4 linked regions of the Schizosaccharomyces pombe genome follow. The gene in region 1 interacts genetically with each later gene. Each region holds a gene or a part of one and is shown in the gene's direction. Other genes may lie near its edges.

Region 1 (4,271 bases):
AATAAAGACTGATGAAATGCAGACTAGTTAGTTAATAAGAGGTTTTTGGTTGCTTTAAGAAGCGGTTAAACTTTTTTAAATAATAGAAGAATTACACTTTGACCCTTTCTCCGAGGTTCAGGCTAAGCCGCCAATTTGATGTTCCCGCAATTAACTCCTCGAATTTATGAGTGATGGCTTCAATAGGGTATTCATTTGTTCAGAGTATTCAATTTAGTTTCTAGTCACACTTAAACATTTTGGAAGTATTAAAAATTACAGAGATTGGTAGCAGACGATTTTACAGCATGCTCGAAATAGAAGCATTAAGAAGAAATTGCAATATCACTCAGACTAATGAAATCCTTCTAAACACGAAAACATAATCTAAAGAATTGCTAGTAATATCACAAATTGCTGATAATTAGAAGGTGTTTACATTTATGGCAACAAAGATGAATGATCTAGCAAAAGAGAGTTTCAGACCAAAGAAAGTTGATGCTTTTCACTTTATAGATTACTCAAGTATCTACTTTAAACGGAAGTAAACAAGTTACGAAGGTAAAAAATTTCAAACATTTACAATCTTAAATTAATAAACCTATGCTTCAAAAAAAGACAGGAGTTACTCTTCTAATAACACTTCTTCACTAACTAGTTGTACTGGATGTTCTGTAACGAAAGAATGGACTGGGTTTGCAGTTTGGATAGTGTATCCAGCTCTCATAAAATTTGTTTGCTTTTTGCAAGCTAAACGTTTGACAATGGTTTTTCTTTTTCAACTTAAAGCACTTTATGCCCCATCAATTAGTCCTTCTTACTGGAAACTATATTTTTCTTGTCAGTTTGGAGTTCAGCAACTTGTCAACTACCCACCACTTTGGGAAGTGGTTAAAAATAAGCAATGCGGAATGACTGAGACTGGCAGAACCAGTAAATATCGTGTTGAAATTCAACAAATGATGTTCATTCTAGGGGAGGTGCAGGATCCTCTCCCAGAAACCACACAATTAGTCGAAGAGCTAATACGTGGACAAGTGATGGAGATGTTAATTCAGGCAAATGAGCTAGCTTTACGACGTGGCTCAAGATCTATTACTGTGGAAGATTTATTTTTCTTAATTCGCCATGATCGTGCAAAGGTGAATCGACTAAAGACATACCTGTCATGGAAGGAAGTGCGCAAGAAAGCGAAGGAGCAGGATGCCAATCCTGCCGATACAAAAGATCTTTTTGAGGAAGTAGATTCAAAAACAAGGTCAATGAATGCAGTTGCTATGCCTTGGGAAGTAAAAAATATGTTTACAGAGCCTGTACCGGAAACAGAAGAGTTTGAAGAAGATAACGATACGATGGAAATGGCATATGCGACGCGACAACGTCTTAAAATGGCAGATGAACGCACGAAGAAAATGACGCGTGAGGAGTATGTTCATTGGAGTGAATGTCGACAAGCCAGTTTTACTTATCGAAAAGGCAAGCGATTTCGTGAATGGTGTGGCATGTCTATTCTAACAGATACTCGCCCTGATAATGATATTGTAGATATACTTGGCTTCTTGACCTTTGAGATTGTGGCTACCTTAACTGAGGAAGCACTGGCTGTGAAAGATCGAATGGATCGGATTCAAAATAGCTCGGGTAGTGGAGGCTCTCATGCAGCGCATCATCCGAAAAATTGCAGTTTATTTGATGGACTTACTGAGGGGAGAACTCCCCTTCAAGTTTCTCATGTTTTAGAAGCTTTTCGTCGTTTGCAAATCCCCGATAAAACTCATACTGCTATGCGCAGTTTTCATGGGGGTTTGGTCAAATCTCGTGTGTATCTTATCTAATCATTTTCACTGTCTCTTCTTTTTTTTTAATTGCTGTAAGGCTTCCATTTACATCTAAATGCCCTGTTTTCCTGTAATTACCCATACTAGGTACGTATATGTTATTATCCCCATTACTGGTTCTCCTTGAAACAATATGGTTTAGATCTTACGAAAGCCCCTTTACTTTATGGAGATATTAACTACTCAATATATTTCATCACATTAGACTGTTGTCTTGCATCTCCGATTGAATTCATAATTTTATTTCTATCTTTCCACTAAGCGATATTCTTAATTGCAGCAGTGGTAGTATTTGGACTTTTGGATTTTTTAATATCAAATTTTTCTTATTATACTGGAATCTCATGATATCTGTGAATATTTGCAAATCTTCTTACCAAACTTCGTTTACTCTATACAAACTGCTGATTTTCGTAATGAACAAGGGGATCATCCTTTTGATATCGTCAGTGCGAAATTTTTAAAAAACAAAGGGTTTCTTTACGTTTTTTTTTTGTTTTCGAGAACATTTGAACTTCATCACTGAGCGTCATTTTGATCATACCTTCCACCTTAACATCATACATACGCCAACTCCAAGAATAACCGAACATTCGTATTCCGAAGCACTCACAGTACTTAAGAGATACAAAATTCAGGAATTTTAAAGACTTTTTGATTTATTATAATTGTAATTCTTTATAATTTTTTGCTATCCGAAGAATTCGCTCAACAAGATTACAACATGACATCTGGATCTCCCAAAATTACAAATTTGCTGACTCGTGTGAAGCGCATCATTCCACCACTTCTTGATACCTTCCACAAAGGTCAAGCCGGTCGAGTTGGTGTTTTTGGGGGTTGTCAGCACTACACAGGTGCTCCGTACTATTCTTCGATGTCGTCGATGCTCTTCGGCAGTGACCAAAGCCACATATTTTGTGAAAAAGAAGCTGCAAATGTCATTAAAAGCTATTCTCCTGATCTGATTGTTCATCCATTTTTACGTGAAAAGGACAAAGCTGGACCAGAAGATAGTGTCGATAAATGCTTTGAACTTATAAAGCCCATGATGGGAAGATTGCATGCCATCGTAATTGGGCCTGGATTGGGACGTGATGAATGGATGCAAGAGATTATGGCCAAAGTAATTGAGTATGCGCGCAAAAATGATATGCCTATGGTTATCGATGCTGATGGCTTGTGGTTAATTCAACAACGTCCCGAATTGGTTTCGGGTTATCATAATGTAATTTTAACACCTAACGTTATTGAGTTCAAAAGACTTTGCGACAAGCTTGACATTAAGAGTGACGGACCCGATGCTTGCAATCAGCTAGCTGGCAAACTAAATTTGCTCATCATTCAAAAAGGCCAATCCGATATTATTTCCGATGGCGCTACTGCATATGCTTGCTCCGTTCCTGGTGGTCTTAAACGTTGTGGTGGTCAGGGTGACATTTTAACTGGTATACTTGCTACATTCCTTGCTTGGAGACATGCTTATCTTAGCAAAGAATGGGATACAGAAGGTAATATGGATGCTAAAGAATGTCTCTTCCTTGCCGCATTTGGAGCCTCTGCCTGTACTCGCTGGTGCAGTCGTTTGGCGTTTAAGGAATGTGGTCGTGCAACTCAATCAACTGACCTGGTCAGACATGTGGGTAAAGCGTATAATGCGTTAATGGAGGATGAGATACCGTCTGTCGAGGAAAAAATAAAAGATTAAAAAAAAATAATATTTAAAAACCAAGAAGATAAAGGACCCTTAAACTAATAATTGACTTTTTTGCTTGTTTGTTCCCTGGAATTGACATTATTACCATGTTTTCAAGTCTTGGTTCAAATTCCCAAGCAAAGGGATACCTTAAACTTAGTTACTAGGAATGACTGAAACGAAAATACCAGATTATTAATGAAATAGCGTATTTAATTTTAAAAACCATGTTCAAAATAAACATTGCATAGTCGTTGGTATCATTGTTGTTGAGGAAATTTGATGTAGCTGTCACCGTTTTTATTTATTGTAACAGACAAGGGCAAGCAGACTCTTCTTTTTGATTCGTAATTGTCATTATTTACATTATCAAATTTAACGGAAATTAGTATTGTTCCTAAGTTTTACTATAAGACGATGTATCTATGAGCACGACAATAGCTTCGGAAACCAATTCAAACCTTCATATAATAGTTAAATTCTAATATTCTACGATTTAGATATCTAGATTATTAATCAATTCCTATCTTGACCTCAACGTTGTATTTTCATTCTACTGTTTTTCTTCTTGGAAAGTCATAATTGACAATATGGAATATTGAAATGCGTTATCAATTAAAAATGTTACTATTTAATTTGAAAAAAAGAAATGTGAGATAAAAAGAAAGAACATGGATAATAAATATCTCTTTTATGGGATAAAGATGCACAGATACGATTATTTCGAAAACACGGTGATCACGGCAAAGACCCCGTAA
Region 2 (4,307 bases), on another chromosome or scaffold:
CATCCTATGTATATAAAAGACACTAAACACCTTAATCATTTATCAAAATACGTCTTGTCATCTACTTTACCTAACCCAATATTGGAATACTCATCGTACATTATATATTAATCGCTTAATTTTTATTTATCAATTATGGGCAATAATAAAGGTAAATCCAGAAAAGTCGAGACTTTCGTCATTTACCAATTGCAATGCCCAAGAAACATTTTCTTTATTAAAATGCTTGGATTCCCCAAATACGTTTGTAAATTGTTGAAAAAACATTTCATCCAAGATTTCAAAGACTTCAACACCTTCTGGATTAGCAACGGCTGGATACCCTTCCACAAGCATACTAATTGAGAAAGGTAATTTTTCAGAAATAGATAAACAATATACACAAATCAATATCATTAAAATATCCTGCTCATCTGTAGCGACCAATGCTTCAGCATCGGTTGAACCATAGAGACTCTCAATGGCATGCGAAAGTGGTGCAAACAAAGGATGTTGCAAGAGGAAAATAGATATCGAATTAAGGATGAGATATTGCAAAAGGTTTGGAAGAGGTTTGTAAGTTTTTTGGAGTGATTCTTCCATATAATTTTTGACATAAGTGATGGAGTCTTGAAGAATATTAATCTGACTATCGCGATAAATTTTGGCCCAAACCTGCCTTTCAGAGGTCGGAGATACTTGCGGATTTGATTTTAACAAAAGGTCAGCTCTAGAGTCGATGTACATAAGTAAAACTTCCAAGGACTTAATCTGGCCTCGTAAAGAAGGGACATAAGAAGCTAGATCACCCGTCAACAAATGCGCTGTCAATTTTCGAAGTTCAAGAGAAGAGGCAGTTACAACTGCTAAACATTGAAGAATCTTTTGAAAAATTTCCTTATCTGGGGACTTTGGCAAAAAAAATACTAAATTGCTCAACTGAAATTGGCAATCATTCTCAAGAATGGCAGCTTTTTGATCTTTATGCGGTAAATCTGGATGAATAGCTACTTTTAAAGTCACTGTATCAAATGGGTTATCAGGTAAGCAAAACCCATAGCCCATTAGTAACTCTTCGTTGCCCTTTGGACCGTAATTATTAAACAGCTGGTTGCCTTTTGCAACCAACTCTTGGGAAATTAATTGAACAGATTTTTCATCTTGAAAATCACTATTCCACAAAATTGGCTGCTTTGGTTTATGATTCAGACTGTCAATGAGAGGAAGAAGAATGGGAGTAGACTCTGAATCCTTATATATTAGATTGGATGAAAAACATCTAGATGAGAAAACAGTGGCAGACCATATATACAAATCGAAGGTAAATCTTTCTGTAGGAGATGGGTGCAAACTTAATGCTTCTTGATACTCATGCTTCCAGATATGCAAACGCTCCTGAGCAGCAGAGTACGCATTTGTGGATATCAAAAAGGCGTTATCATTTTCGTTAAAATAAAGAGGGGTGTTGAATGTTTTAGGTAGATACTCAATGTACCCGTACCACTTACTTTGTATACCCTTCAAGCTCTCCAATGCTAAAAATGTACAAAGTGTTATATGAGGATTGCAACTCTCAAAATTTGGATTCAATTTTTTTAATTCCTCTTTCGCCTTGTTATATGTTATTGCATACTCAAAAGGGCAGGATATAAGTAATTGATCAGGTGCTATATCGTTTTGTGCAACAGCAATATAACTACCAAAACAAGCGTTATCGTCTCGACTTTGGATAAATTCGACAGATTTATGAAGCTTGCAGCCATTTTGCAAGGCTTCGTGTAGTAATTTCTCCATTAAAGTAGCGTTCGTATAAAAGAAGTAAATTAGAAAAAAAAAAAAATTGTAAAATTCCAATAATCAAACCATCAAAACTGATTTTTGCTTTTTAAAAATGAAAACAGACAAAAGAAAAGTGGAAGATAAATTATACCATAAAATTAAAAAGTGGTAGCAGAGTGCCGCCTGGCTTCGCCTATTGCTCAAAGGTAAGGATTGAAATACCCTGAAACCGCATTTGGGTGTTTCTCCCACAGTTTTTAATGCGGATAACCGCCATTTGTATTGTTACAAAAAACTGTATCGATGCTAATTAGTTTAAAACGCTTGTAGTAATTTGCAATTGATAACAATTTGAAGTCTTTATACTCATAATTAGACTACAGGAAAGCGTTGTCTTTTAGAATTTAGCGTATATTGTGATTCGTGAATACATTACCCTCATTTTTTGTAAATCAATCCAGTTTTACAAATACCTTCTTTAATTTTTTCTTTTTTTTTCTTTTTTTTTGTTTACAATCGTTAGCTATTTTCTTGAAAATAGGACATTTGCTGAAAATGGATTTTCATGCGATTTCTCAACGTTTCATTGATATGATGAGAAGCAAGAATTCCCAGAACGCTTCTCAGCCTCCAGAGACATATCCCTTTTATCATGAAGTACGTCAAATGTCACAACACCCGTGGATGTATGAAGACCCAGAGTTGCAGGATTATGCTCTTAGCATTTTACCACTTGACAAACTATTTCAAGATGCTTCTGAATTAGAAAAAGAGGGAGATGGATCTTGGGGTTACCAAGATTATGTGATTCAAGCCTTGTTAAAGTGGTTCAAGCGAGAATTCTTTGTTTGGGTTAATCAACCACCTTGCGAAAAATGTGGAGTATGTTTTATGATTGACGGTGTAGTCAATTTTTTGTTCTTTATCCGTACGATATAGAATATTGACAATGTGTAGGGTGAAACTCATATGACAGGCAACGGTCCCCCCAATGAGGAAGAAAAATGGAATGGAGTCCGCAACGTAGAGCTTTATCAATGCAATGTATGCGGGCATAATCAGAGATTTCCCAGGTATAATCGCATTCGAGCATTGCTTGATTCAAGGAAGGGAAGATGTGGAGAGTGGGCCAACGTGAGTTAAAAATATTTATAAATATATAAAGCTAACATTTTCTTAGTGTTTCACTTTCCTATGCAGAGCACTTGGATCTAGAGCTAGGTGGATTTGGAATGCTGAGGACCATGTGTGGACGGAAGTCTATAGTAATAAACAGCAACGCTGGGTGCATGTCGATAGTGGTGAAGAATCATTCGATGAACCTTTGATATACGAACAAGGTAGAGTTCTAACTCCTTGAAAAACTTGATTTCTAACAGCATTAGGTTGGGGAAAGAAGATGTCATATTGTTTGGGTTTTGGGAGTACGGAAAAGGTTTTAATTTTATTTGTTACTAATGCAAAAATAGTCGATAGTGTTCGCGATGTATCGCATAGATATATTCGTCACCCTGAGAATGGTCTTCCTCGTGATCGATGCCCCGAATCTGTCCTACAACAGGCTTTGCATGAGATTAATATTGAGTTTCGGTCCCGACTAACTGATTCTGAACGTAAGGCTCTAGAGGAGGAAGACAAACGTGAAAAAGATGAACTTGATGGTTATATGCGTCCTGTTTCCCAGGCCACGCCCACTAACACTGACCTGCCAGCAAGACAAACGGGGAATGTTGAATGGAAAGAGAAAAGAGGGGAAGCAGGAAAATGATTGTTTCATAAAGCTTTACGTTCCGTTTCTATTACCAAACATTTATTAGTTATGTTGTACATGAATCCTTTCTAGTTACTAGCTTTTTTTTTATGTAATCCTAATTAAATTTTTTTTTCATACATTAGTTAAACGACAGCAAGTGCATCGTAAACCAACTTTCGAATTTCAAAAAAGCGGTTGCTCAAACTGCCCTCAACGGATATTTTACCACCACTGAGTTTTCTTACGGCAACAGCTCCCCCACATAATAAAACACCTTCTCCTTTCAATTCAGCAGAAATTCCTTGATCTAAAAGTGCTTTACGGAGATAGGCAAGCCGAATATTACCTACCAAAAGTGGAGCAGCCCTGGGCGCTCTTGCCAAGTCTGATCTTAAAGTCAAGGCGTTAAGAACAGGAAGTGTCTCTTTCTCTTCTTTTTTCTCTTCATTCCTTTCTTTATCACCGTCCTTTTTCTCAACTTCTTCCTTTTTATCTTCTTCTTCAGAAGGTTTAGAGATCTCAACCTTAGCCAGCATATGTGAAACTTCGCAATTGCCAACTTTAGTCCAAATTAAATTTTTAATAAGATCATCTGCTAATTTAAGACTGAATGCATTAACATCGATACTAACATTAATGATTTCACCATAGTTGGGTATGTAAACGTCCTTGGTAAAAGCACTGAGAGAGGCGCACGTTTTCTTCATATCTTCTTTCTCTTCAGTTGAAGCATGAATAAGGACAAGTCTTCTAGGATTTACCTGTGGTATAATAGTTTTCAAAGAACGTCCATCAT
Region 3 (5,039 bases), on another chromosome or scaffold:
GCTCGGACACTTCTTATACTGCCTTTGCATTCATTTTTGCTTGCAATTTATCCTCCCGTGATATTCCTTGTCATCTTATTTTTCTATCTCCCTTCTCATTTAGCAGTCTCTTGAAAATCTCTTTTACTTTCTTGCTTTCTTTCTAGCAACTATTCACTTTATCGCTGATTTAGCGGAAACCGCTTACTAACCTACCCATGTTTACAAATGAAACGGATTCGTTCGTGTTGTAAAATTTATCGACATAACTTTGAATGTTACAGAGTTAATCTGAATTCATTCTTCCTTTTTTGTACCTTTTTTCTTGGGCGCTTGCTCGTAATTAGCAACTTGCGTTAAAATTCATGTAGTAGTAAGTCGACTTGATAATGTAGTTATGTAGTTTTATTTTATAAAAATAGATTTTTGCGAATAATCGTCGAGCATTCCGTTCAATTCATTCAATCACTGCGAGGGTTTATCGGGTTAATCTTCTGTAAGGAATATCGGCTTTTATGGAGTTAAAAATTGGTATGAACATTTTCCATTTGCATAAGCGAAAAAAACACGAATGTTTGTTTATTGAAATCGTTCGCACGATAGTGGAAACCAAAACATATATGGCAAAAAGCCTACAGCACCCCGGATTCCCATGTTGTCTCCAACCATAGTACTAACGAGGCCCTCAGACGCTTAACTGCAGTGATCGGACGGGAACTGGTGTTTTCGCCTAGGTATGGCCGTAGACGTTTGTCAAAAAATTTAACAAGATATATAGTGTAAGAAAAGATAAGAGGTATTTTAAATTTTGTTAAAAGCTTCAACATGATTTTTGAAAGAATTTTCAATGAGCACAATAATAAAATAACTGGTAGTACTCGTTTAACTGTGTATATACAAAATATATTTACACAAAAATATATCCGGTCAGGGAGGGACTCGAACCCTCGACCTCACGATTAACAGTCGTGCGCAATAACCAACTATGCTACCCGACCTTGGATGTCTGTAGATATATTTTAAACATATATATCTTCTATGCTTTAAACCTAGTCATTACTTTTGTCTTAATACCAGTTATTCTGAATCATCAAGTATTTCGGAACTTTAGTTATACTATATTTGTATTAGTAACATGAATTTTAAAGGATAGATAATTCCACTCAGAAGAAGACTGTTTCTAGACTATAAATATATTCACTATGTAGTAAACATATGTAAAGATTCAATGAAAAACAAATGGTTCGTTATTCGATTTGAATTAAATGAAATTAACAAATTATCATAAAAACAATCTAAATAATTGCGTAGTTTGATAAACACGAATAACAGGACCAGCAAGTAAAATCAAAAAAAAATCTGTGGTTAATTAAACAGCTTTATATTGGCTCATTTAACCTGATAAATTAATGTACTAAAGACCTTTTTTTTGTTTGAAATTATAAATACCACAGTTCGTCAACAAAAGTGAATTCAATTATGGAATAATTGGCAAAATTTGTAAAGCATCATTGTTTTCAATTCAGTAGAGTTTTCAAGAAGTCATTGATTAAATAAGTCTAAAAGATTCACTAGTTCATCAATAAATTTCTGGTCCCGTAACCCTATTCCGCCGCTTAGAATTTCGAACCTAACGGAAATTTATTTTTTTAGAAAAATATGATTTACTTATATCTAGATAGTAAACTAAGGACGCAAGCTCAAATTTGTTCAGCATCGCTCCCTAATTCTCATTTTTCCACTGTTACTAAAAACTGAACTATGTAAACCAAAGTCCGATATTCATCTCAAAAAATAGTACACTGTCACATATGAGCTAAAAGGACATAAAAAGAAATATTTTTTTACACCAAAGCTGCAACTTGTTTCTTTGAATTTCGAATGTTTACATTATTCTTTCCATTTAGCGATACGCTGCTTATTCCTATTGTACACCACCAATATGTGCTACTTTTTGTTACTTAGCTCTAGCTAGGTTTCATACATAAGGTGCATCTTTATGTTAGTCCACCTTCTTATCCCTTTACCGTACTTACTGGCTTCTTAAACAAGCTTCTCCGTTGTGCCATCTAGCTAATATAATCATTTTGAGAGGCTTTTACTATCGATCTATTTGGGTTGAATGATTAGGAACAGTAGCATTTCTGATGCTCTACCTGTAGCATTAGGCGGAAATGAAGAAGAATCGCCTTTATTGATGCTGGTACAATTACCCAAAGAGTTTCTCGAAGGATATCTTTCAGGAACGATAACAGACGTGAGCTTGGAATGCAGTGATGTTGGTACTGTATGTGTGGGCATTTGTGAAGAGCGATAAAGAAGAATGAATTTTGAATGTTGCTAACCAATATACTTTTTTTAGTCAATATTAGCGAACGATAGGTCTTACAAATGCACTTCCGTTCCAGAAACTGCTCCGCATGAGATTTACAGACTGGTGGACTCGAATTCGTTACAACTGGTTGGCCGTGTCTCACAAAAGCTACAGCTTCGTAGAGAGCTCGACAGTTTAACTGCTGAGCGAGTGAAAAATCGTACGCAGGAAGCTCAAAAGGAAAAAGAAGAAAAAAGGTATGAAAAGAACGACAATAGTATCAACCAATTCTATGGATTGGAAGAAGTTACTTTCAATCTTTCTCTTTTCAAATTATGCTAATATTTGTAAAAATAGAATTGTTACCCTTCAAAATGATGGTGGTTCAAAAAATACAACTGCTAGGAAGCAAAAGCAGTTAAAAAAAAATGGACTCAGGCCTCTCAATACAAGTGCTTCACGAATTGGTCTTTCCTCTTCTCCCACAAATACACCTTCCCCAAACCTTCCCGTCTCGCAACCGTCTGCATCACCACATTATTCTGGTGATAAAAACTCGGCCAAAGGCATTGATCTTCGTACTCGTGTTATCCAACTTTTGGCAATCGCTCCCGAAACTGAAGATTTTCTTCGTTTAAGAACAAAGGCGTCACTTTCCAAATTACAAGCGTTATTACCAGAAGTCGCTTGGAAGAACAACATGAATCAATGGGAGCTCCTTAATCCTGTGTATAAAGATGTACGAGTCTTTGATTGGCGTCCTTATAGTATTGCAGACAGGAATGCCGTTCTAAGTCGTATGTCCAATGCATTCGACAACATGCAATTGCCTCCTGATGCTCCTGAACGTTCACTTTTAGTGTCAAAACAAAAAAACATTACTAAACTCAACAATGAAAAACGAATTCCTCCCCAATTGGCCCAACCCACTTCTCATGTTCCTTCATTCATTGACACTAACTCTCCTTCAATGCCTTCTATTTCCTCGGTTTCTTCTTATCAACAACAACACCGCATACCCAAGCTCAACGCTTCAAACTATTCTCCCTTGCTTTCCCCCTCCTCACACCGAAAAACATCGGGAAATCTTTCTCGTACTGGTTCAGAAAGCTCTGCCGTTTCATTAAGCGATACAACAAACTTAAATACTCCTATCTCCGACATTCCTTCACCTGGCTCTTCCACTACTTGCTCCAATCTTTCATCTCCACATATCAAACGAAAAAGTCGTTCTCCTCCGCAATCCTTGCCTTCCACCCCGTTTCCTACGTCTTCGTCTTCTACCAACGGCACTCTTGAACCCAATGCAAACTCTCCCAAGAAGAATGAACAAGATGCATGGATAGCTAAAAAGCGTCGTCAACAACGTTACACTACAGAAGAAATGCGAGCATTGGCAAAAAGATTTCGGGAAACTTATCCGCGTTATAAGAATTTATATTTAAAAGTCTCTTCATATTATGATAATAATGATACTAATAATCCTAATTTAAACAAGCTCCAAGATGAACTTATATCTCTACATTCTCAGCTCAAAAGCTGGAAAAATACACTTTACGATGCTTCCTCGGAGCTAGCCCTCTAACTTTTCTCAATAAATTTCCGGTTTTCTTAACACTCAGTTTTATTTCCAATGTTTTATAAAGGTGACGGTTATCTCAGCTTCAATTCAAAATTGTTTCAATACTGTACGGTGCCTACAACGAGTGCAGGCTGTTTTTTCCTGCTTTCGTTAAGGCTAGTGTTTCGTTTAAAAGATAAATTGGTTAAATTCATATTCAATTAGCAGTTTATTGAATATTAGTTTGTTTTTGATTTTATAATGAGAATCTTGTTATTGTGATGCTTTTTTTAAACTTTTATGACATATCTTTAAGTTAGTTAAACTGCGTGAATTCCTTATGTGCTATCACTTTTTTTTGGGCTTAAAAGTACCACTGATGAGTCCTTTCGTTTAATCTAATTTATTTTGTTTTTCTTACCACCTTTCATGAAATATTCCGCCAAAATTTTTTTTCTACATTAGTACAAAGTGACCCTGAAACAAAAACTATCATTAAAATGTTTAGGTATTCATTGATCCGTTGATTACTGATTTACCTTCATAAGTCATCTAATATAAATATTTGGAGACCAGCTTCTTTCACAGCTTAACCAGCGCTGATAGCAAAAAAGTAAATTCTATTTTCGTTTATCAGAAGCAAATATTTAATCAATTAAAATTAAAACTTTTATTTATCAAATATCGGTAATAACTACAATGTGTAATGGTATATAACCTTCAACACGGTCGTCCTTATTTTTGCCTTTCTTATATTGTTTTATTTAAAAAGGATACAAAGTTAATAAAATACAACAGAAACAAAAAAAATTGCAATTCTTTTATATAACCTCCTTAAGCCAGCGGTAATAATGCGATGGCAAACGTCGATGTTCACGCAAACCTACAGAAACTACATTGATATCCACTTCTGGCTGCCATAGTTGGCATTGTCTAGAAAGGGCACCACTAACATTAGTAGAAGGGTGAACCGGTATAATCAATCCTATAGACCCTAAAGTTTCCCATGCTTCCAAAGCAACATCCCTTCCCCATAATCGACTGCTATGAGCTAGAGCTCCCGATGCTGCGGCATTTATAACGGAAGATTGATGCAGTTGTCGATATTCTTGATAAGCACTATTAAAGTTGCAAGCTGGAATATCCCTAGCTTCAAAGCGAACTGCACAAATCAATAAAGCCAAC
Region 4 (4,223 bases), 850 kb from region 1:
AGAAAGAGTTGTGCAACATAGTGGGCACATCTTTGAAAAGCTCATTGTTCTTGGGAAGGGTTCAGAGGGGAAGTTCCAATAGGGCGCTATATAATGGTCATATTCCTCCTGTGTCTCAACGATCATGGGAGCATACACATCCTTTTCAAACGCCTCTTCAAAGAACACAGAATGCTTCAATATAAGGGCTCCACCAAAAGCATCAATAAGCTCGACACATAAGTTCCGCAAACTTTCAACGGAAAACCCAAATCTCTCCATGGTATGCATAAGCAAAACAATTTGATTTTTCAGTTTTATTATTGTAGTGGTACTTTGCTCTGTAAACGCAACACTTAAAATTGTTTCGACCAACTTTTCACAAATAATAGTCCAAATGTTTTGAACTTCTTCGTAAGAGCGAAAATTGGGTATACACTGTAATATGTAGTACTCAACTATCATAAACCCAGCAATAGAATTTAACCATTCGCTGACAACAGCCATGTCTAGCGTGGTCAGACTTTTAGGCGCTAAAAACTCTTGTTGGCGTCTCCTATCTCGCTCAAATGAGGAACGGAAAGAGCTGAGCAAGCCCAAATAAGAATGAACTTGCAAGCATATATATAAAGGTTCAAAGCTAATCTTGACGATCTCGTTATCTAAGGGAGAAACTGAAAATGTTAACAAAACAGAAACAAAACGTAAACATACAATCCATCATTTCAAGCAAATATAGTTCTAGGGAAATTGAGGTTTTGGAGCTTAGGTTAACCAAATCCTCTTTGTATTCCCTAGCCCATCGTCTTCTGGCTTCATCAATTTGCTGTGAGCATGATTTACCAACTAAAGGTAGTTTTTGTCTAATGCTGAAAAGCCATTCATGCAGGTCTTCCATAACAGCGCTACATATAGCTTCCTTGGTAGTGACAATGTATTGTTGGATGGTAGAATACATCCCCAATCCATCTAAACGTTTTAAATGCACTTCGCTTATTTCTGAGCAAATTCTGAGTGTAGGAAGATACTGCTTTTTACTCAATAACTCTTGAGAGTACTGAACCTGATGCAACACTTGCATACAGCTCCTCACTAAATTATGATATTTTGTAAGAAATCTCTCGGATGTGCTTAGAGAATTTAATTGTTGTTTCTGATACAATTGTTAGTTTTCTGCGTAATCAAAATTCAAGAATTTAATCAAGCTCAATTTCTTCAAGTTGAAAGAGCCACGCTTAATATAATTGCTCACCATATTTTGTAAATCACGACCGCTAGCTTGAATGTCAGTGTTCAGGTCGGCCATTAAAGATTGCAAACTACGAAGTTCGGACCGAACTACAGATAACTGGTTTACCGATTTGCTAAAATCCTAATAATTGTAAGATTATACCTTAGGGAAACAGGAGACTAGCATACCTGGTTGTTTTCAGCAGAGAGCTGTTCAACGCGTATCGCGCTTTTGCTGGCCAATTCATTTAGCCGTTCATAAACTTGAGTCTCTTGTCCTTTTTCACACGCCAAGCTAATTAATTGGGGCAACCGATCTAAGGTGTCACCGGCAGATTCGATTGAAGCAATCTACCAATTTATCAATTACAACTCAGCAGTATTCTCTTACCTTATCTACAAACTCCAAGACATCTATATCCATCCTTTGAAATACATTGAAAGATGAAATACACAATTTCAACTGTAGTAGGTAGTTTCGCTAAAATAGGTATATACGGGGATGGGCAGGACCACTTGCTCCCTGAGACAACACTTAGTGCGAGAAGCGTTAAATAGCAATTCACGTTTACTCAGTTTTTTTACGCTTATTTTTATTTTTCTTTATAAATAATAAACAATATGGACGCAAAAATCAAGCGAGCCGAAGGAAGGTAATGAATTACGAATATTGATGAAGGTATTATTATTGACAATTTAGATTACGAGAGGATCCCTATGAAGGTCACCAAATGCTTCGCACTCTAGTAAATAGGTAGGTTGTTTGTTATTGATCAATGAATAACCGAGCAAGACAGGTGAAAGCTAAGAAACACGACGATGCAGTTGCATTGCTATATTCGGGCGCTAAAACATTATTTGAAATCGAGCAAACCGGAAGTGCCGCAGACCTAGCGATATACATGCTAGATGTTTATGAAAAAGCTTCATATGCTGCCTCTCTTGACAACAAAGGTATGCTAGTCACATCAGCTAATTTTAACTCTGATTTTTAAACTTCATTATACTAATTCACAGCCCGAGCTTTGACTCTTTTGGGACTTTTTCCTGCCGAAGAAGGTGCAAGGAAGCAATACGTTAAAAGGCTTTTAGAGTAAGTGCCTATTTATCTGTATGGATTATATATGGACGGCGTGAATGATAACGATCGATTCTTCGCCCTTTTATCCTACATACTGTCTTTTTTTTTACTTACTAATGATGAATAGATGGAGCAAATCTGCCGGTCCTCAAGGAGACAAGGACGTTCACTTTGCGGTAGCTACTATGTTTGTAAAATGTACGAACTTTTCGTAATCTGCTTTGCTTTTAACACATAATATAGGGAAAGAACCCGCTAGCGCTGAGAAGCACTTTGTTCTCGGAAATGAAAAGAGCGCCCGCGCATATGGTGAAACAATGTACTATTGGTTTACGTCGGATTCTTCGATCAGTCCTGATACGTTTGCTGGAAGACCTGTTTTAAATTATCTTTTGGCAGAAAACCTAATTTCTGCTTGGAACTCACTAGAGACATTTACCAAGCATTTTACTAAATCGAATGCGCCTGATGTTGAGAACATGAGTTTCGATGGTAAAGATTTTCCTGTTTTTAAAGAGTATCCCCAGATGAATTTCTTACATTTACTTATTTTTACGGCATATCGCAAAGATAAAGAGACATATCTTTCATTGGTACAAAAGTATCCTAAAAAGCAAGATTGGGAAGCTGTACGTTACATTTATAAGAAAAATGTTTCTTTTTTTCATATATATATTTACATATTAGCATTTTTTCTTATTTCTAAAGTGTTTTGCTAACAAATTTTTTTACTACAGGCCTTAGCAAAGATTGAAGAAATCTACTTTGGAATTCGCCCTGTTAGCAATCAACCAAACATTCTAGCCAATCTTATGAGCTCCTTGTTTTCTGGTCCTCCCGCAGCCACAAACCAGTTGGATTTGGAGTAAAAGCAACTGGATGTTATTCAAGTTTACGTGTCGCAGACATTATAATTGATGCATAAAGTTTACGAAATTGATATTAAAGATGATAAATTTGTTTTTCAGTCGTAAAAGAAATATATAAATTCCTAGAAAATGGTTTTCATTGAAGGGACAAGTGAAATAAGTATTCTCGGTAACGCGAGAGACATGTTTACGAGCAGCCTTCTTCTAATTTATAGAAAATACTTCCTTAGCAGATCAATAAAAAAAATTACTTCTATTAAAGCAAATACTTCTTATTGTTCTATTTACTTATGATTGTAAAGTTCTCACCTTTTGTTGTAGCAATCTTCGTAATGTGTGATTCCGTAGCTCAGTATTTTCGAACGCTCTTCATGGGTTACCTATTCACTACCACCATCCTGCAATCTCATAGTAAATTAGTTTTAATCAATAATTTAGGGAGATTGAAGGGGTTTTTAGTGGAGAAATCATTATGGCATCTCCGAAGATGATAAGAAGCAAGAGGTCAACATCCTCAATTGCTTCAAAAAATTCGTTAAATTCGTATTTGGCATCATCATTGATGAGCCATGATAGTATTTTCGATGGCCCTGGGTTAGGAACTAGCATTCCGTCTAGTGTCTCAAGCTTTCATCATCAAACTTTAAGGCCCTCTTCGGATGCCAGCGTAAGCCAATTTAGCATGGACTATCTACAGTCGGAATACAATCTTAATCGGTATAATGATGGGGAGTCTATAGCTGCTAGTAGGGATTACCAGAGTTTGCTTCGTGATAATGGCTCAGGTGTTTATAGTGATGAGGAGGAAATAACAGAAATGATGTTAGAAGAGTTGAATATACATCCGGTCTTACGTAGAGAATCTGTAGGAGAAGCTGCTGGATTGAGTGAAGACGGTTGCTGTCAAATTTTGTACCTTGTGGAAGAAGATTTGGAAGTAGGCATTGCTGGATACAAAACGAACAAAAGCCGTTATCGTTTGTATCAAGCTATTTGCCTACTTACTCTTGGTTTGGCGTACCTAATTTTTCGTTGGCTTCCCAAATATTTCATTCGTTTTGTTG

What was found.
Region 2: mutations in nnr2 (region 1) and ngl1 together harm fitness less than expected from each alone (positive genetic interaction), as found in Schizosaccharomyces pombe (one large-scale study listed by BioGRID).
Region 3: mutations in nnr2 (region 1) and ell1 together harm fitness less than expected from each alone (positive genetic interaction), as found in Schizosaccharomyces pombe (one large-scale study listed by BioGRID).
Region 4: mutations in nnr2 (region 1) and get4 together harm fitness more than expected from each alone (negative genetic interaction), as found in Schizosaccharomyces pombe (one large-scale study listed by BioGRID).

Annotation. Positions count from the first base shown.
Region 1 is NC_003421.2:1,442,112-1,446,382, forward strand, and holds nnr2 (NADHX dehydratase Nnr2), read left to right. Parts: upstream 1-2,377; 5' UTR 2,378-2,541; coding exon 2,542-3,525; 3' UTR 3,526-3,771; downstream 3,772-4,271. Other genes in the region: SAGA complex subunit Spt3, read left to right, coding at 891-1,814; SPOM_SPCC61.04C (Rab GTPase-binding protein), read right to left, coding at 4,232-4,271.
Region 2 is NC_003423.3:1,124,315-1,128,621, forward strand, and holds ngl1 (peptide N-glycanase), read left to right. Parts: upstream 1-2,157; 5' UTR 2,158-2,313; coding exon 2,314-2,640; intron 2,641-2,715; coding exon 2,716-2,892; intron 2,893-2,938; coding exon 2,939-3,098; intron 3,099-3,143; coding exon 3,144-3,182; intron 3,183-3,227; coding exon 3,228-3,526; 3' UTR 3,527-3,654; downstream 3,655-4,307. Other genes in the region: ribosomal lysine methyltransferase Set10, read right to left, coding at 130-1,773; mRNA processing protein Cft2, read right to left, coding at 3,655-4,307.
Region 3 is NC_003423.3:2,028,098-2,033,136, reverse strand, and holds ell1 (RNA polymerase II transcription elongation factor Ell1), read left to right. Parts: upstream 1-1,996; 5' UTR 1,997-2,101; coding exon 2,102-2,266; intron 2,267-2,341; coding exon 2,342-2,550; intron 2,551-2,650; coding exon 2,651-3,878; 3' UTR 3,879-4,527; downstream 4,528-5,039. Other genes in the region: origin recognition complex subunit Orc4, read right to left, coding at 4,676-5,039.
Region 4 is NC_003421.2:589,262-593,484, reverse strand, and holds get4 (protein Get4), read left to right. Parts: upstream 1-1,734; 5' UTR 1,735-1,830; coding exon 1,831-1,862; intron 1,863-1,909; coding exon 1,910-1,963; exon of another isoform or gene 1,964-2,002; coding exon 2,003-2,163; exon of another isoform or gene 2,164-2,226; coding exon 2,227-2,302; exon of another isoform or gene 2,303-2,417; coding exon 2,418-2,488; intron 2,489-2,533; coding exon 2,534-2,919; intron 2,920-2,984; exon of another isoform or gene 2,985-3,027; coding exon 3,028-3,159; 3' UTR 3,160-3,415; downstream 3,416-4,223. Other genes in the region: exocyst complex subunit Sec15, read right to left, coding at 1-653, 694-1,132, 1,232-1,351, 1,399-1,560, 1,601-1,633; SPOM_SPCC1672.11C (P-type ATPase P5 type), read left to right, coding at 3,632-4,223. UniProt on the Schizosaccharomyces pombe protein: May play a role in insertion of tail-anchored proteins into the endoplasmic reticulum membrane.